2 linked regions of the Daphnia pulex genome follow. The protein of the gene in region 2 interacts with the protein of the main gene of each other region in a pairwise test. Links are inferred from orthologs where the notes say so. Each region holds a gene or a part of one and is shown on either strand. Other genes may lie near its edges.

The links.
Region 1: the proteins of geranylgeranyl transferase type-1 subunit beta-like (region 2) and protein farnesyltransferase/geranylgeranyltransferase type-1 subunit alpha-like interact in binary tests that used the Homo sapiens proteins (3 or more experiments, as listed by UniProt). The link is inferred for Daphnia pulex from reciprocal best matches to the Homo sapiens genes PGGT1B and FNTA.

Annotation. Positions count from the first base shown.
Region 1 is NC_060020.1:5,694,913-5,705,330, forward strand, and holds protein farnesyltransferase/geranylgeranyltransferase type-1 subunit alpha-like, read right to left. Parts: upstream 6,930-10,418; 5' UTR 6,831-6,929; coding exon 6,665-6,830; intron 6,599-6,664; coding exon 6,475-6,598; intron 6,413-6,474; coding exon 6,317-6,412; intron 6,248-6,316; coding exon 5,912-6,247; intron 5,854-5,911; coding exon 5,673-5,853; intron 5,597-5,672; coding exon 5,504-5,596; 3' UTR 5,105-5,503; coding exon of another isoform or gene 5,003-5,104; 3' UTR 4,913-5,002; coding exon of another isoform or gene 4,746-4,912; 3' UTR 4,679-4,745; downstream 1-4,678. Other genes in the region: MKI67 FHA domain-interacting nucleolar phosphoprotein-like, read left to right, coding at 1-575; homeobox protein MOX-2-like, read left to right, coding at 4,170-4,677, 4,746-4,912, 5,003-5,104; uncharacterized protein LOC124192714, read left to right, coding at 8,546-8,731, 8,792-8,966, 9,019-9,119. UniProt on the Homo sapiens protein: Essential subunit of both the farnesyltransferase and the geranylgeranyltransferase complex.
Region 2 is NC_060023.1:9,027,380-9,037,474, reverse strand, and holds geranylgeranyl transferase type-1 subunit beta-like, read right to left. Parts: upstream 5,594-10,095; 5' UTR 5,407-5,593; intron 5,333-5,406; 5' UTR 5,301-5,332; coding exon 5,188-5,300; intron 5,125-5,187; coding exon 4,750-5,124; intron 4,687-4,749; coding exon 4,554-4,686; intron 4,481-4,553; coding exon 4,361-4,480; intron 4,290-4,360; coding exon 4,176-4,289; intron 4,109-4,175; coding exon 3,979-4,108; intron 3,909-3,978; coding exon 3,796-3,908; 3' UTR 3,674-3,795; downstream 1-3,673. Other genes in the region: proline-rich protein PRCC-like, read left to right, coding at 2,548-2,820, 2,878-3,318, 3,377-3,673; uncharacterized protein LOC124197980, read left to right, coding at 6,239-6,630, 6,715-6,822, 6,893-7,088; uncharacterized protein LOC124197979, read left to right, coding at 8,463-8,950, 9,027-9,134, 9,215-9,443. UniProt on the Homo sapiens protein: Catalyzes the transfer of a geranyl-geranyl moiety from geranyl-geranyl pyrophosphate to a cysteine at the fourth position from the C-terminus of proteins having the C-terminal sequence Cys-aliphatic-aliphatic-X.

The sequences.
Region 1 (10,418 bases), on a different chromosome or scaffold from region 2:
GAAAGGCGCTCAAGAAGGACAACGTCAAAGTGAAACCAACCACAGATTCCACACCCACGAAACCGACTAATGTTACAGCAGATGCCGTCTCAGTTGCCGTTCAACCAACTACACCAGAAAAAACATCGCCCAAAATAACGCGTAATCAACGTAAAGCTCTCCTGAAAAAGAACAAAGATAATGCTGTTGAGGTGAAGCCTACAAAAGATTCCTCACCGGCCGCCCCGACTGAAGCAGAAAAAGTCCTCAAGTTAGACCAGAAAGCATCGCCCAAAGCGAACAATGGAAGCAATACTAAGGAATCGCCAAAAGGGAAAAGGAAAAGCTTAGCAGTAACTGAAACCAATCCAGCAGCAAGTGTTGCGGTATCGCAATCGCCAAGCAAACGTTCGAAATTAACTACTCCTGCTAAAGCTGATAACACACCTTCGAAGAAGGATTCTAAAGTGTCAGCCAAGCCTTCTCCTCAACCCGCTAAAACATCTGAAAAAGCCAAGCCCAAGACTTTGGAAAAAGCTACTGCTCCATCAAAATTACCCGTACTACGTTCCGTTAAAGGGAAAAAGTCTGTTTGAAATTGTTCAGTTAATAAACGACATTTCTAATCATTAGTCACTTGCGCAAGGTTGTCTTATTGCTTTAGAAGTGTAAAGGTTATCAGTTATCACTAAGGAGAGCTTAAGAAGATTCGGTTTTGCGATGTAAAGTAAATTGACTCATTTTATTCTGGTAGGAAATTGTCAACAAAAAATCCCCACGCTCGTTAAGAAACATATTTTCTGACATGTGAGAGATGATACGTAGTCGACAACAAGTTGAAGGAGAAAAGTGAAGTGAGGAATAAAACTATCTGGGAAAAGAACGTTAATGATCAGAGGGGTGGGCATTTTCTCGTGTGAGCATTACTCGGTATGCGTGTTGAAATTCGACTAATTTGTCCGAGAGACAAACTTTCTCACAGTATAATGTGAAAGTGGTAAGATGAGAAGGTTCTTATCGTGACAAAACTCACAAAAAGGTTACTCTCTTTAGTTAGCGAAAACTGCAATGTTACACGATCGCGTTTCGTGATTAGCCTAGACTACAGAAGTCCTTAGTACGGTATTTTGTTTGTTGTTTTATTGTGTTGAGTGTCGATGGGCCAACGATGGTGATGGTCCAATGTGGGGGAAAGGAAAAGGAGCGGGAGTGAAAAATCACTGTTTGGCTTACTGAGCTTCTGGATTGAGTCTAATGTTTTGCTTAGCCGTTCTCAAACCCCAATGTGGGCGCTCCTTTCAAATATTCTTGATGGCTCTGCCAGGTGGTGCTTCTTCATTCCAAGCCCTTACTACTATGAGAAACAAGGAGGCAAAAAGAAGTCCGTGGTCCTGCAAAACTCATCAAAATTGCCATCGTTCTGGACGCCGCATATCCTGCTCCCTATGTTTCTCTTCTCTACTGATGCCCTTGTGGTTGTTTTGCCTTTCGGTGATTTCTGACTGCAGACATCAACTACATTATTGACCATCTTTCTTAATGGGGATCGTCATCGTTGACTGTATCAACACAACCTAGCCATACTCTAGTGCCCCCCAAACCTCACGCCGCTACGGATAAGTTAAATCAACAAGAGCTCTAACGTAGATCAATAAATCAAGTCTCAAACGATAAATTTTTCTATTATTTTTCTTTTAAAGTTACGGCAAAAAGATTTTATTCCACTGTAAATTGAAATTTAAAAAAAGGGGGGCTTTAAAACGTTCATCCGTAATGAATGGCTACCCGAATAAAAAAAAACTGATAACCAACACGAGCGTACTAAGCTTTTCACATTCGGATGTTTTATGCTAACTATGATTCACAGCATCTGAGCTGGAGCGCAGTTTAATGCTTAACGATGTGCGGGCGTTGACCAAATAATCTAATTCTTCGAATGGATATATCTTTATACTCACAAACACAAGATCCAAGAATATTGGGCAGGGCCAGTCGAGTTCTAGATGGGCGAAAAAATTTGTAACAGCTAATCATTCATAATTTCTGGAGAGTAAAAATGACGGCCTCCTAATGGACGGTACACACCTACATTTGAATTCTAAAGAGCTCCAATATTCTGAAAAAAAAAAAAATGTTAAAGAAAATGAAGCATGATTGGGTAACAAAAAATCTGAAAATTTAACGCGGACAAATCTGAAAGGATTAGATTAGATAAAAGAAGTACTTCATATTACTTCTTTCTGTTCGCTACTGACCGACTTACTGAAAGTGCAAGGTATTTAGAATTTCGATCTTAGTCAACGTTACCTCTCTATGAATAATTTTTTACTACTGGAAATTTTCCAATTTGTAAATACTATTGAGAAATTGGAAATTGCAGCTAGTGTGTATCGATCCAAAGACTCTTTACAGACTCGCGTTACTGTGGGAGTAGAAGGGCCTCCTGGAGCGGCGGAAGTAGAAACGGCCCGTCCATCACTTGCGAAAACAGGTTTCCCGAATAAGACCGCTAAAAGAAAAAGAATCACACTTTATCTTATCAATTTTAACCCTCCCTTTCAAATGTACTAGAAACTGATGGCATCTTACTATGAAAAAAAGTGTGTTCACTGTTAACACGATTTTACGTTGAATTTCCATAACTCCAGCATCCAGCGATTTCCTGAGACTTGGAAAAAAAAAGGAATGAACTTCCTGTCGGTTAATGGGGTGCGAAATGTGAAACCTGCCATCTTCACTGCTACTCTCTGTATCGAAAAGGCAAAGCTATTTAGTTACGGCTCAAGTGTGAGCAGGCTTCGCCCATTCATTAGAGCTTCACAACTGGACCATCGGCAAGCCCCAGTAACGTAGTAAAATACACATAAAATAAAGAGAAGGAAATGGGGATTTTTACTGTGAACCTGCCAGACTGCTTGGCGCCGAGGGTGAGACAGAGAGGTCGATGTGTAGAGAGGGGGGTCTTTGGAGGTGGGAAATAGTAAAACAAAAAAAAAAAAGGATGGGGGGCTGTCAACGTAAATTGATACCCGAACCGGAGAAGGCGTTGGACACGATGAAACGACTTTTGCCCTTTTTCTCTTCCCACCTATTGCGATCTGTCCAGTGCAAAAAGTGTATCTACGGTCAAAAGAGAACATTTAATTTAGAATACAAATTTGCGCCGCTTTCAAGTCTTGAATCGATTGCTCAAGAGGCTGATTTGAAAAATAATTATACATAAATAAGCTTACTGCTAAACTGATTACAACTTAACTATTGAAGAACACCATTTTAATGAAGTAGACTATTCCGGTTGTTGTTAGATGGAAAAAGTCACAACTGCAACTCAATAACAAACCATCAGTTATAAACTGAATTCTTCCTGGCGAGTTGTTCTGCTTGGAAAAGAAATTTCACTGTGACGGGAAAACGGATAGCCTAAAAGAAAGGGGGGTAGTAGACCCTAAACTCCGGGGGTCCTTGGTCCTGGCAGACAGCCTGGCGCCTCCATGGAATGTATCCCTGATAACAATATTGGGTGGCGGGGACATTTAGAAAAAGGAGTTTAAAATGGTAAACACTAAAACATACCTCCTTTAATTTTGAAGCTGCACTGTTGTAAAAGTCAAATTGTATACTATTCTATGCAGTAAGCAGAACGCTCCATTTTCCTTTGGGCTTTATGGTCTAGTCTTGCAAGGATCAAATTTTAACTTTATAACTGTTTGGGTTACAAAGTCAATTTTTAGGGTGAACTTTGAATATTGCGGCAATGTGAATTGTACTCGCACAATTTAAATGCAATGGTAAGAGATCAGTGTTGTCAAATCATATGCCAGTGAAATATGGGACTTCAAATTGGATTAAGATTGATGAATTGGACGAAGCGGCGTGGACAGCTGAGCAAATAAAAGAAAGGTGCCGCAACAGGATTTGGGAAGGAAAAACGCCAACTGGAAGGCGAAGGGAGTGAAGCAACACAACCAATCGGCTCGCACCGAAAGAACGCAAGTCTCCGCCTTCAATCTTCTCGCCTTGCCAGAACTGCATCAAGCTAAGATTTAGGCAGTGAAGACGTCGACTTGTCTAGGGAGTTCTTTTAACAGTCGGTATCTGACTGTGGACTGGAATTGTCGTTGCAAGTCGTCCAACTCCTGACGACTACAAAACTCCTTTTGTCAGTACCGAGCTAAAAAGTTCCATTTGAAATGAGTCTTTATTACTCTCCTTCGCAGTCTCGCCAATCTCACAACAGCTACGGTAGCGCCACGGATCCGGGACCAACATTTCGTCTTACCTGCGTCAATGTGAATCACGTTACATACAATTATCTCATGGAGAACGCATCGCCCACTACCGCAGATAGTGCCGGATACAATTACGCAAATGGATGTGGAGGATCCTTACCTTGCTATCAAAGTTTGACGTCTACATTGCAACAGCCTCAGGATGACTCCGGTGGACCAGGAGTTCGACCCTATTCATTGCCGTCGTCTTGTGAATCGCCCATGTCACTTCCAGCATTCTCTCCACCTAATCAGACTTTCCTTGGACATCAAGACCACTACCAACAACAGCCGTTCCCAGGGACACAGGTTTTCCACGACGAAGTGCCCCCAATCACGTCATCTTCCATCTCCTCTGCTATTGATGATTTTAACCTAGATGAAGACTTCTCTCTTGATCTGGCGGGAGCCGGCAGCTCAGAAGATGACGGTAAATTTTAGTGTGAATTTCAAATACAAACAAGCAAGAATAAAAACACAACATAATTATTTTTGCAGAGGAATCTAGCAGTGGGGACACAATCTCAAATAAACCAAGGAAGGAACGAACTGCTTTTACCAAACAGCAGATACGTGAGCTAGAAAACGAATTCGCCCACTCAAATTACTTGACGCGACTACGTCGTTACGAAATTGCGGTTGCTCTTGATCTTACGGAAAGGCAGGCAAGTGAAAATGATAAGCACATTCGATACAGTTTCAATAATAAGAAGAAACATGAATAACTAAACCTTAAATCATTTGATAAAATTTAGGTTAAAGTATGGTTCCAAAATCGGCGGATGAAGTGGAAACGAACAAAAGGTGGCAGTCCTTCGATCAAGCAAAAGAAAGAGTCCATCAAGTCTAAACATTAAAATTAAAGATCAGTGACGGGTTGTCTTACCAAATCATCACAAAATGTGTCGCGTTTCGCCATTTACTGAAAGCCAAATTTGCTCTCACTTAACTTTACATTTTTACAAATTTCAGAGTTCTTCCACAAATATTTCAATGATGAAAAAATCGAAATGATCCTTATTTGGTCACCTATGTCCATAACTGTTTTTCCTTTTTTTTCTCTCTCTCTTGTTTGAAAATGCTCGTTTTATAGTATTACAACATGGCCAAATACACCGGCTAAGTCAATCGGTTCTGAATACTAAAATTCTACAACACATCAATGTGCGAAAATATCCACTTGAATTCTTGTTAGCACATAAACAATCATAACTTACCATTTAAAAAAGGTGTATTTTAATTGACGAGATACGTTATCAAATGGCAAACTGTGAATTGAAATAGCGTGACAGAAAAAGCCAGTATTCACGGCGAATGGGATCCATTTTTGTTGCAAGTAACTGGAGCACCTATGAGAAGAACATATTATTAATAAACTTAGAGTATTTAAAAAAACAAAAAAAACAAAAAAAAACAGGTTCAAACTTCATCTGCTTTGGGTAATAGGACTTCGCGTTTCGAAGGATCAGACTGCATCATTTCTTCCATTCTATCGACCAAAAACGCAAAATAAAATGGCGCTTCACTTTTGTTCTCGTCCAGAAACTGGCAAAGCTCTTCGACTATTGGATGACCATTCAGTCCAGTTGGACAATGCGATAAAATACTGCATAAAAACGTTGTTATTTTTACACGAACTACAAAAACATCCGTGAAAGTTTTACCCGCGTAAGTAGTTCCATGCGCTTTCATTATTGCATACTATCTTTATACTGTTGACAGCAAATGTCAGCTCCCGGTTGATTATATCTTCAGTAAAGCCTGTCGTTTGCTTTACAACAAAATACCGTTGATTCCATGCTGAATTGTTTCGAATATCATCTTCTAATAAGCGCTCTACAAACTCCAATTCATGATCAAAGAGTTTGAATGTATCAAGCACCCATTGTCTGTGTTGCCATGCATGATAATTTTTGGCATCTTGAGCTAGCACTATTTCGGTAAGACGAAGTTCACTAGATGGATCACCTGACCACTCTACCAGTACTCTACGATGATGCCTTTGGAGATAAAAGGTTAGGTTGGTTATTGCAACTTATGTTCAACAAATAAAATGGAAGACATATTACCAAACTTGGTAGTTCTTGGGGTGATCTTCTATAATTGTTCTTACAAATGTTAGTTCTTTTGGAATACTCTTTTCAAGTCCTTTTAATACAGTTCGTCTAAGGTGAAAAATACATGTTAAATGCAATTTCAGCATAATTTGAGAATATTCTAGAATTACCTATATTGCCAAACTGTATAATTAGCAGGATTCAGTTCAAGTGCATCACTTGTCAACTGAAATGCTCTCTCTGAGATCTCATTTTTCAACACAATCGCTCGGAAATAGTTAAATATGTCTTTGACTGGAAAGGAAACAAATATTGAATATATTGAAATAAACAAGAGGCAAAAGAAATATATATAATCACATCGGTCGGAATATGCAATAGCGACGACCGGAAAAGGTCCTTCATGTAACTCGACGGGCACAACATCACTCCATTCTTGTCTATCACGGTAGAATATATATGAAGGTTCTTGATCAGAGCCCTCATCAGAGGAATCTGTCAAAGATTCCTTTGACTTTTCTGCCATTATTTAATCACTAGATTTATAAAGAAATTTGTTGAATAACGAAGACTACTTCGCGCGAATCGCGCCTAGCTAAAAAAAATCATGAATTTGCTTTTGTGTTTCGTCTGCTCAAACATCAACATCATTGTCAATTGTTATGCCTAGACAGACTTTTGAAATTGTTTTATAAATTTTCATGAAAATTGAGAAGAGCTAAGTCATTTAACTCTTAATAAAACTTATAAGTCAAATCAGTGGATCGGTGCTAAATGATTATTTGTTTCGTCATTACATTCTCGATAATGACAACCTCGTATCATATTTTTATGGTTTCATTTTCCCACTCACATGGTGGCTTTTTATTGAAGATCAGATCAGGGAGGAGTATAGAGGAGAAAGCAGTTTGCTATTCCTCTGAGAGGGGAGTCGAACCCATAGAGGTCCGGGGAGTGGAAGCCGCCACCAGTTGGCAGCACAATGAGGTAGAGGGTAAGTTTTCAGCCGTTTCCCCATAAGCTTGCGTGGAACAGCTGACTACCCGCCGATGATTTTGTTAAATAGCAGGGGTTATTTGCAATATTTTTGAAAAACACTTCAAACAAAAAGTAATCAGAAATTTAATTCTGATTTTTGAAGTGTTTTTCAAAAATATTGCTGGTGGCGGCTTCCACTCCCCGGACCTCTATGGGTTACAGCGCGGGATAGGACTGCTTTCTCCTCTATACTCCTCCCTGATCAGATCATAGAAAAGTGATACTATACAATAATACAAACAACCAGTGTCACCAGTCCACCACCAATATTTCAAAATTACAAAATTATCTATTGCTTAATCAAAAAATTTCCTTTCTATTTTGAACCCATTTATTATGAAAAGGTATTATTTTAAAAAATTATAGGAATGGAGTCGACGTTGCGCATACGGTAAGAGGGATGCTGAAACCCATCAATTTCGACGACATCTTGCCGTCTATCGAATCACGACTAAACCGGCTCTTGCATTTGATTTCAATATCTTAGAATTGACCGTCTTCATACTACGATACTAGCCTTAGACTTAGCTTCATAGACTTAACAAGCCTTGAAATCGTAGTAAATTAACTAAATTTTCATGTTATCATTACTATCGTTGCGAAACGGTTTGGTAATGCTGCACCCTGTCCCTCCCGTCTTCCCCCCTCCCCTCTTTCTGGTGGACCGTGGACGAGATGAATCGCCCCCTACTTGAATTTTCAGTGTACGTTTGGCGCTTGAGTACGGGCGAACCCAGCGAATCAAGATAGGCATCTATTGGTGGAAAGAGGAACTACCGACAGGCACCGACAGACTGTCGGTGCAATAGCTGAAATACCATTCTAGCACCGACAGTCTGTCGGTGCAATAGCTGAAATACCATTCGAGCACCGACAGTCTGTCGGTGCAATAGATTTTTCGTTGTCGGAGCGTGTGCTCAATGCAGAACAAGTTAAACGAGTATCTTTTCGCCGTTTATTTCGTCGATCGCAACATATTTCATGTCGAACATTTGTCTTAAGTGATCGTATGATCGTACACTTTGTATTGTCTTTCTGAAAGAACGTTAACGAACGAAAGAAAAGAGTTTTGAAGTGTCGAGTCATGTCAGCGCGTGGGCGCGAGTCGCCATTTTGTTACGTCTTCCCTCCTTTTTCGTCGGACGCGCGTCCCGCCATTTTACTTCGTCACCATTTCTTGTTCTGGAAGCGATCGATCGCAACATGACTGCTGTACCATCTCGTTTTTCAGTTCTTGGAACGGAATCCTCCACCGACGATGAAGAGGAAAGAGCAGCTATTACAGCTTCAAAAGAGAAAAAAGGGGCAGCTGCCCAAAAATTGAAATTGCCAGTGGCTAAGCTATCCAAAAAAAAGGGTCCTAAGGTCAGGGAAGAGCAAGGTCCTAAGGTATTTTTTTTATTTATTTTTTTCGTTGCCAGGTTAAGACATTTTTCTCTTTCATTTTAGGAACTGATTCATGATCCCCAAGCGCAAGAGGGTATTGTTGGAAAAGATGAGACTCAATTGAACGAGAAAAATCTTGAAATAGAAAACCTGAAATTGCAGATTGACAAATTACAGGGAGATTTACGTAATTCAAATGCCGAAGTTTTTTATTATCGTGGAGCCTATATACGCGAACGTAAGATTTTTTTAATTTTTTTCCCCCTAATTAAATCTAGTTTTATATATAGTCAAGGAAAAAGCAAACATGCTTGCAGGTATTGACAAAAAAGCCAAGATTCAAAATAAATTGACTGCTGAAACCGTTAAAAAAAGGCATGATACTGAATAGACCGTGGGCCACGGATCTGGGAAGCTCGTCCTATCAATTTCCTTTCTTGCATTTATCAACTCGTCATTTATTTTGAATAATAATAAATAAAATTCTTTGAAACCATCGACAATAATCAGATTTTTTTCAGCTGAACTGGCAATTTATATGTGTTGTTTATATGTGTTCCTTACTACGGCAAGCGACTCGGTAACCTCTGAGATTCTGGCAGTGCTGGCTAAGCACCAGATTCAGGTGGATCAGCCTATGCCAAAAATTGGCCTCGACGAGCCTGGCAGAGACACCGACACCAACGGCCTCGGTTGAAATAAAAAAGCAGTAATTCACACAATTTATATAGTATCTTAAGGTCGAACAACGCCGTCTGCAAGACGAGTTAAACCAGAAAAATATTGAGATTGAAAGCCTCCAGTCAGAAATTGACAAACTACGAAGAGTGTTATGATTCAAAAACTCAAATCTCTAAATTTCGCGGACTCTATATACGCGAATGTAAAATTTTGTTGGATTTTTTTTTTAATTCCTAATTTAATCGATTTTTTATGAATAGTGACAGAAAAAGCCAAATTTCTTGGCGATATGGGTAAAGCAGACCAAAAAAAGACAAATTGACCGCCAAACTGACTGAGGTAAATATAAAAACTCTTTTTATTACATAACGTTATCTTAACTGTCATTTTTCTTTTTCTCAGACTCACAAGAAGAGGCACGATACCGAATAAGAAAACGACCGTGGGCCACGGATCAAACAAGAATATGCTTGTCATATTACATTTATAAACTCTTTCATATTTTTGATACATATAATTAGCGCTCCCACCCGAATTGCCTTTGATTCGAATCGATTCGAATTGATTCGAATCGATTCAACTTGAATTGCGTTTTTTTGAGATTTTTCGAATATTCAGTTCAACTCGAATTGGAAAAATCAAAATTCATATTCATTTGAATTGTAATATTTTTGGGTAAATATTCATGGAAATTTACCTGAATATTCATTTCCAGATTCATGAATATTCATTGTGAATATTCACGAATATTTGGGTGAATTCGTGTCAAATTTGACAAAATTTTTGCAAAGTTTGGATATTTTTAGTTTCAATTTCGACCGCTAGATGTGCCACCTCTTCGTTTCGATAAACGAAGGGGATGGGTATTGTTTGGGTTCTTTTAAACGAACAAATATTCTATTATAATAATTGAATAATCACTAAATCCAGTCGATTTAAGTGATATTCTACTGCAATTAATTAAACAGTTAAAATTATGGATGTTTTTGTGTAATATTTCTTGCCTAAT
Region 2 (10,095 bases):
TTGATTCACAACTCTATGGAAATTTTTTTACCTTAATTTAAAACTTGGAATTCGATGAAGAATGAAGTTGTTGACAAATAGTGCACGGCAGTTCCTATTGCCATAACGGAGATGCTCACTAGGCTGCTTAATTTTTTCACCTTTTCTCTCCTTTCATACGAATAGACGATAAAGAATTTTTGTTTTTAGCAGTTGGCATATTAAAACTCCACATAACATAATACTTACCCATGATATGTAGTGGTGTAGTACTCCGATGCCTTGGTGGTGTTGTGTTAGGGAGCCTCGGTGTAATAAGCTGGCGCGGCATTTGTAGTTGTGTAACACTCTGGTTCTTTGGTGGAGTAGTATTTAAGGCATTGGTGTAGCAACTGGTTGTGTTGTATGTTGTGTAGTAAGGCGGCAGTGTAGTGCTTTGGTATCCGCCACACCCAAGAATCATCGGTACACCAGTGGTCGACCCAGCTATCAACGATACAACACCCAACAACAGCACAGTTTACTAGACAATTATTAAATTCAAACATTATTATTCAACAATAACTGGCTAATAGCAAATTGAAATAAAAATAGAATAAAACTTTCCATACAAAAAAACAGAATATTCACCCATGATTGAAACTGGTAGCGCGACGAAGAATGCAGTTGGTGACACATGGTGCACTTTAGCTCTTGTATATCGGAAATATTCACTCGACTGATTTCTTTCGCCTTTTCTTTGCCCTTACATACGACTAGACAATAAATAATTTAAAAATAATATGCAAAAATAACTAGCATATTAACAAAGAGAAAAAATTGAAATTTGATACATAACTCCATGGAACAACAGAAAATTTACTGAAATAATTTACTTTACTGAAAATTAACTGACAATACGACGAAGATTGCAGCTGATAGCAAATAATGCACAGCAGCTCTTACCGTGTCGGAGATACTCGCTCGACTGAGCCCTATCGACTTTTCTCTCGCCTTTTATACGACTTTTTCTCACCCCTCCTATTAAGCCTTGCGGTTATTTTACCTTCTTGATAATGATACAAAACGTCCCGTTCTCACCCAACCTCTACGCCACTGCATGACACGTTTTACTTAATGATCTCCATGACCTTCGATTGAAATGCAAACTGGCCTTTCTTTCTTTAGGTAGACGTTGCTGGGGATGGGTCTACAAAAACCAATATCAAAATGAATACCAAAAAGCTTACCCTTGCGGATATTGTACCTGCTTTGATAATGATGAAACACGTGTCATTCTCACCCAACCTCTACACAACCGCATGCCAGTTTTATGTAATGTTTCTCGTGACCTTCAATCGAGAAGACAAACTGGTCGACCTGTCTACAGGTTGACTTGCATGCAAAAAAACAAAACGAAAACATGCAAAAAATGTAATGAATCTAAAACTCCTCGCTTATGTTGACTGCTAGGTTACGTTACCTGTATGATCGTATAGTAGTATGAGTGAGGATTCCTCAGAGTCCAGAGCTATTATTCCAAACTGATATCGAGACGTCGCATAAGGCCAGTAACGGCAACCAGCGCCAACTCCATTGACCCCAAAACGAAATTCATAACTTTCGTTTATGCACATCTGTAGGAAAGAATAAAATGATTATTGGCTATATGGATTTAAAAAATAAAATTATTTCCTATTAGCTGTTATATATCTGTCCTCATGTACATACATGTTTTCATGTACAGATCTGGTACATGTACATACACAGTGCAGGTTATTCACTTCACACTCTTCATGTCACTGAAACTCTAAGCAGCAATGGGACAAGGAAATTGAAAATTCTCTCTCTATTTCCAAATTTACACAAATTTACCTATAAAAAATAAAACTCTACTAACTCTTAGCTGGGTTGCCTTCTAAACCGAAGTAAAAACAGCCATAACAACAAACATGCTGTTGCAGGGTACGCCACCAAATATGCAAGATTCAGAAAAGATGCTGTGGTTCATGAGCAAGGATACCTATGTTATAAGAAAATCTGAAATGTAATGGTCTTGTAGCAGTAAAGTGCAAATACCTTATCTCGGTACATTAGTATTCCACTATATGTGTGCTTCAAACATGAGTTTTAGGCTTTTGACAGCATGAGGGTCTAATAGATGGAAAGTCAGAAAGTGACTGAGCACTAAGTCAACTTGTTGGTGGCAGTACACAGTACAGTAATACAGTATGCATCTAGAATTTGAAGAAATAAGTTGATACAGTGTAAAAATAAGAAAAATAGGTCAAGATAAACCTACATAAGATACGAAGTTCAATTTGGTATTTGAAATCACAGGAATTAGCAACAATTTGTTTCGCTCATTTCTCATTTCCTCTCATTTCACGGTTCAGGAACAACAAGGGCGATAGTGGCGACATCTACTAATGAGTTTTGAATCTTAAGTTAGATGCACAGTGACAGTTCGTCAGTCGCACGGACAAGACAGAGTTAGTCGGCCTTACAAATTACAGAGAGCAGTCACAATAAGTCAACAAGCAGAACTATTTGTAATTTTGTTTTAAACATTTCTTCATAATCAACACAATGGCGTTAAATTTGGTGGCATATGATGAAAGTGGCAGTGAATCCGATGAAGAAATGGATCAATCGCCTGCAATAGTTTTCTCTAAATACAAAAATGAACATGGGAGCATTCGTGAAGATTTAGATGATATACCAAAACCTTCCGAAAAAGAACTCAAACTAGCAGAGCTTGCTAGTAAAGAAAAAGCAAATTTGAAGAAATCTGAGCTACTATCAATTATAAGCCAAAGAAAGAATGGAAAAATTGTAATTGGCATACCGTCACTAGCTGATGTAAGTTCCATTTATATCTAATTTTGTTTCCATTACACTGATGTTTTTCTCATTTAGCTGGAAGATGATACAGAAACAAAAAAAATTAAGAAAATAGACAAACCACTTGCTGTAGGACAATCCAAACTATTCTCCAAACTACCACCTCCAAAAAATTCACATCATGAGCCTCCTTCAGAAATCGCAAAACCAGTTGCGAAACCCCTGATGAAGAAAAGTACCCCTCTTATTCCTCAGTCTGTTGCTAGACAGCAGTCTTCCAAGAAAGATTCTGATGATGAGGATGTATCTGACAGCTTCTTTACAATGGATGAGCCAGCCTTAAAAGTGCAGGCAGAACCAATGGATGTTGGGCCAGTCTTCCAAACAATCAGTTCAACAGGCCAACAAGCTGAACCAGCTTACCCTAGCATGCCTACCAATCAGCAGTATAACATGGCTGGAATTTCAGACACTTACCAAACAGAATATGCTGGATTGGAACTTGACCATGTTGCAGTATGTACTTGTTCATATAAAAATCTGGTAGAAGATTTAATTGTTTTTTGCCTAATAGTTACAGGCACTTCAGGGTTCCTCTGGAGTCAAACGCAAATTACCAGATGATGCACAAATTATAGATATTCAAGGAGAGCGTTTGACGTATGATCCCAACATGTCATATTTGAAGGCAATTTCTGAAGAAAAGTCTGCTAGTAGAGGTCCAGATATAGCCTACAACAAGCTACAAAAGAAGAAGCATCAAATCACTTACTTGGCTGCCCAAGCAAAAGCTCGTGAGGTTGATCTTAAAAACCAATGGGCTCAAAACAAATCCACGAAACGACAAACACAAGCAAAATATGGGTTTTAAAGTATATGTTTGAGCTCGTTGGGATCGTGAATACATGTTGACAAATAATTGACAATATGAGGTGTGAAATCAGTCAAGAAAAGTTGTGCATAATAGGGTTGCATCGATGAAATTTAGGCTGATTAGTTATCAAAAAGCTTTTGCCAGTGTTCGAAAGCTCTCTTTGTCACGTTCAATGCTGGATGAATCTCCTCGACCAAATCAGTCTCTTCGCAAACACTTAACCCAGCAAGACCTTTAATCAAAATTTATATTTTTTAACCTCATAGATTTATTCATCTTAAAAATGATAGCGTTTAGAATACCTAAATACGAGTGTAGCGGATCACTTGAGTGATCAATCCACTTTGATAATCCTCCAATGATATTGCATTGAGTATCCAAAACAAATTTCCGGTTACTTTTACGGTCGATAAATTGGTGAGCACCAAGGATCTGCAGAGGATTGTTTATGAAGTATTGAATGGATCTAAATTGCATCTGTTTAAGCGTAGGGCCTTACTTTTAGTGTCGCTGGAACCCAGAATGAGTAGCAGGTATCAACTGGTAGTTTGTTCGGCCGACCTTGAAATCCACTTTGTTGACGGGAGACGAGCCAGCGTACTAGTTTTGCTTTCTGAGTTCAGTCAAAGGCAGTTTGGACTTATGAAAATACCGTAACTGCGACTATTTATACAAGGAGTCAACCTGATTTGAACTCAGAGCTGTTTCAAGGGTTCCCATCAAACTAAGGGCTGCTATTCCACAAAATGTCAGGCCAGCATGTCCTTCTTGATTTCGGTCTTGTCCAATAGCTCCATCATAGCTCTGTTGAATGTAAAAGGCATTGATAATTAAACAAAAATTTGCTTCGACAAAAAGTTTTAATTCTGCATCTCACAATTGAATTCACGATGTAGTTAGTGGCGCTTTCAATGTTTATAACTGACCAATCCTGCAATATGTAGCAAATACAGCAAGCGCAGTACACGAAACGAACGTCACTCTCACTACCTTCCAAAGTGGCGGCAAAACTGAAAAAAAGTTCCATGTAATTTAATATTTATACACATTAGTTTTTAAATGATTAATTTTACCTTCCATTTTCCAGCTGAAGAGCTCTAACACCAGCTAAAATTCCTTTTCTTTGTATCCTCCCCAGATCATCACCAAGAATGAGGAGGGTATTGATTGCTGCATATGTCATTGTAATATGTGAAGTATCTAAGGGATGACTTGAAACTGACCCTTTGTTTTCAATACTGGCAACCTGACTACTGTCTTGACTTTCAAGGGCAAATGTGGCAGCAAGTGATCCTCTGAATCCACAGCGTTCTAGACACTCATCACCATATTTTGGTAAAATCTGGAAAAGATATATCCAATTTATGTATTCTTTTCTGTGCTTGTCTAGTAAATCCAATCTCCCCAACACATCAAGACCAGATATAGCAAAGAATGACATTGAAAGTCTAGAGAAAAAATTAAAAATTAATTGATGTCCACATTATTTTTAACATTTGTATCAAGTAAACCTTATGGAATCCAGTGACACCATTGAAGAGGGCAAAGCATTCAAGCATCTTAGAAAATACTTTGCATGCTTTTCTTTCGTGAATTCCTTGCAATCGTCCATAGTTTTTTCCATTGGTTTTATTGAATTTAGTTGAATACTTTATCCTATGAAAAAGAAAATTACAAATTTGAATTAAAACTTGGATAAAATTTCACTGGCACGTCTATAATGTACTTACGACAATCACAGTTTAGATCATTATTTGTTTCAAATTATTAAAAATTTACGCTGTTACGATTGATAAATAACTGGATTAATTTCTCTTTTACAAGTAGATTTGGAATTATTTTATTTTGGCACTCATTAACTGACTGTGAGTGCGAACTGAAAATGTAGTAATGACAGATTGACAGACGATTTTTTCGACGACGATATTTCTAAACAGCATCCATTTCACAATCAATAAAACTGCGCGTTTTTCTATTTCAATATTTTCTGAGTATTACTTTTTTTACGCGAGAAATTGGCTTTTATCAATAAATTTGCTATTATAATTTTTCGTACACGCTCCGGCTTCAAGTACAATCTAAATTTGACTTAAAAAAAAAAAACTGCATGATTCACAAGAAAAAGAGCGCTGGCCTTCACCATTTTTCACTTGAAAACCGGATAAAGAAAATTCGAATGGAAACTGCTATCCTTTGTCACTCACATAATTCTGTGTGAATTCATTTTATTATAATAAAGTTGGACAAGCTTCCGCGTCTTCAATATTCTTTTGTCACATAGCCTACTTACACTTTGCGATACATTTTCCCACAGTCCTCCGGTTCATAAAATGGTGGGATGAGAAAAAAAAATGTCAGAACGGTACGTAACATAGAGTTCAATACATGACTAAACCTTTTAGTAAAGTCACAAAAGAAGTTAAAGAACGCGATTTAGCCAAAACATTTTTGATCCCACGGACTGATCCGAAAGTATTTAAATAACGAAACATTTACAAACATGTCGCAGTAACAATCCACAAGCTAAAGCAGCAGGTAGAGCAATCTCAAACCTATCTCGCAATGAAACTACGCCGTTCTTTCAGATTGTTGCTGTTCGTAGCTGCCATCATACTTGGAGTGGAATCGGCCAAGATCCATAAGAAAGTCCGACGCTCGGCTTTGTCGCTGCCTAGCGGTGGAACGCTATCAGTCACGATGGATTTGATCATTCCCGTCGTTCCACTTCTCAACACCACATTGACTTACCTGTGGTTCGATTTGCCGCTCACATTCGATCTACCCACTGCTAGCGCGCTGAACGAACTCTACTCGAGTTTTGGCATGTCATCCGGAACTTCAAATGACGATGAGTCCCGCATTTCAAATGAACTGAACCACGAGTTTATGGAGGAACAAAGAGCTAATCATGATCGGAGACAAGTTTACAAATATGCCGAAAGTTTCTTTCAAAAGTAAAATATTTGATTTTGATTTGTTTTTTATATTTGCAATCAGGTGAATGGGATTCAAGTTTCAATTTAATTTTTTCTCAACAGTTTTGGATTCAACGGCAATGCTTGCTTAAAGCGGGCCATATGCGAGCTAGCTGAAGCTCCACTAGGCAATCACGGACTTTTCGGGAAAATCTTTGACATCTTATTTTTGTAAAGATAATTTAGAGCGCGAATTTGGTTCCTCCTGCGATAAAACTAACAGCTTTTATTTGCAAACTAGGCCAACTGAATCGGATTTTCCTCAACACGAGCAGAATTTCATCAATTTTACGTCGCTGCCCCCTGAGCTGCATTTCTTGGGGAAAAGGAATAAGGACGAATACAACGACGCCTATTTGAAGGGTAGAGCAGCCAGCGGTTGTCTCACTCATTTCTCCGCATGTCCAATTTCTGTCTTCAAACTTTTGGACTTTTAACTTAAACAAAAAATGTAGAGACTATAACCAGTGATTTGTTCTGAAACCTAAAGTTCCTATTTCGATATATTCGTGTTAGAAAAAAGTGCACTCACATCCTATACAACAACGTTGCATAAATAAAATCTCGTCCAAACTGATACTTGATTCTTAGTCCTTGAATTAGTTGAATACGTATGATATACGCAGTGTACGAAAGTCAATTGTAACTACTCAGCACAATCCAAAGCAGAGGCCATAACAAGACACTATGTGATTTCAACTATATAATTATACAGAATTACATTTAAAAAAACTTATTCGGTGAATAATTCTCAATTTTAAATATATTAACTTGAGATTTTCAGCGATTTGATTGTCATAAAATAATCAATTTTGCTGAGTTCCAAGCTTTCTGCCAGCCTACAGTTCCAAATGTTTATGTGTCGTGTCTTCAAAGCGTCGATATAATATTACGTGTCGTTCAAGTTGAAAATCGTAAGGCCAAGGAGGCCATAAATCTGTTTCTATTTTGTTATCGCAGAAAAGTGTGGGAGTTCAGTATGGGTCGGTATAAAAACTTCAGAAAGAGCAAAGTTCTTACAGGCTTTTTGACGTGGAATAGTAGCCGCAATTCTCGAAATTTGGATCCTAGGTTATCAACACTGGGTCCAGTTTTCTGCTGAGCAAATAAAACAAAAAACTGTTTGTTTCAATATTTGAAAAATCAAAAATGAATGGAACGAGCTCGACCATTTGGCGATGATCATGTTTGTTTGTGCCGTAATACAGCCATGTGTCTCTGTTTTGAAAATGGAGAACCGGTTTACATTTCTGAGTAACGGAAACGAATAACGATCCCTTTGTTTATTCGATCAAGTTCAGCACCCGGCTGATATAGGCTGACATTTTGACTGAAGGGCAGTATAGTGCTGTACCCTCTTTGGGACACCTAGTAATATCTTGTTGCTATGTGAAACAGACACAATATTGCGTATACTCGAGTTCTCGGGTACACAGTTATCTTGACCCATGCACGACTTGTTGATTCCGTGGAAATTCGGCCTATAACTCTTTTGGTCCAAGCGACTATAGAGTTCGACTTGATAGGAGGATCGTGCGATTCCCATCATCGCTTCCCGGCAGACGGGAAACAGGAAACGCTTTTGTTAACATATTCCAACAATAGATGGGAAGAGGCGCATTATCTAAACAAATAAAACTACAACTGAATGAACACGCAAATTTTCTGACATCCAAAGTTTTCCACGTATAGTCAATTTGGAGGGTAACAATAAAAGGTAACAAGATTGTCGAGCCAGTCAACCAGTTCATCTCGAGTTACCGCCACAGTCAAAGGTATACACACACGGGTCCTTGCAAAACATTCGAAAAATGATCCGCATCTGGTTGTTGTTAGCGGTTGGAAGCCTCGCTGCTGTTTCCTACGATGCCGAGCATCAAACAAATCGCGGTGCTGACGACGAATTAGTGCTGTCGGGCACGGGAGACTACAGCAGCCCCATTGCCGACGTGAAATCTGACGAGAAGCTGGAACGAAAGCGCCGGCAGAGTTCCAGCAGTCGGACGGCTTTATCACTGCCAGATAACACGAGCCTCAAAATAGCGTTCGACATGTCTGTGGGCATCAGTCCACTCAACAACACCTTCTCCTCGTTCACCATGAGCTTACCTTTCCGCTTCGTCTTGCCGACATTCACGCAGCTCAACAATCGCTACGGCAGTCTGGATCAACTCGAAAAAGACCTGAGCGATGAAGGGCAAATCGAGAGCAATCTGATCGATTACGACTTTCTCGAAGAACAACGAGCGAACGAACAGAGGCGGACCGTTTACCAACATATTGAGATTCTGTTCAAAAAGTGATGACGACGCTTTAAATTCTTACTAAATTAATAATATTTAATTAAGCAATTTTACAATTGCTAAAATTTTAAGGTTTGGATTCGACGGCGAAGTTTGTATGCAACGGGCCATTTGCGAGCTGGCCGAAGCTCCATTGGCCCACCACGGAATCCTAGGCAAACTGATGCATCTGGTTTTCACGTAAACGCATTATATCTTATTATTCAAATGCCACTGGTTTCATAAATATCTATCATTTCAAACTATACACTTCACGACAGGCCAAGCCTGCTAGAATTTCCCAAAATCATGCGACAGTTTCTGACCGCCCATGGCAACAGCAACAACAACCGTGTCCGGCGCGATGCTACGTTGCTGCCCGAGCTGGAGTTGATTGAAAAGCCACTGGAAGACCAGTACACTCACGCTTATCGCACTGGCAAAGAAAACAAGTGCTGGGCGCGCTACTCCTCCTGCCCCATCTCCCTATTCACGCTTCTAAATATTTAACTTCCGTGAGGAGAGAGTGTTTGATGAAATCATATTATTATTGTACGATTGCCTCTAGCTACTAGCTGGTCAGCAGTTTTTTCTCGCTTATCGCATAGCCAAACAGAAAAGTTCCTACTACAACTAATAAACAAATTCAACTTTCAATGCATTTTCATTATTGATAATTACGTGTCGGTTGATTCAACAGAATCATTATTTTGTTACACAATTTATTGAGCAACTCGTTTCTGGCTAAAAAAAACAATCAACATTTCCACCGTATTTTCAAATTCGAGCCAATGAAGCCATCGCTTTGATTTCAGTTAATAAATTTCACGGTATTCTCGTCATCAGTACTGGAAATGATTGGGTGGTGGCTGGGGGGAGGGAGGGGTGTTGATGATTGATCAAGAGCAAAAAATTGCATGACAGCACGAGCTTGCGCAGATACTATCAGCACACAGTAACTGTATAGATAAGACCTGATCAATTTTCCATCCAACAGCTGGATGGGGACGGCACTGTCTAGTACCAGTACAGTCTGGCTTTAATTTTGTAGACAATTTTCAAGTTATCTTGTCGTCAACTCGAAGTAGATACGTAACGCAGGTCAAAGAGTATAGAAAATTAGCTATATACGTGCGTCACTACCGGTACCGTTTTCTGACTG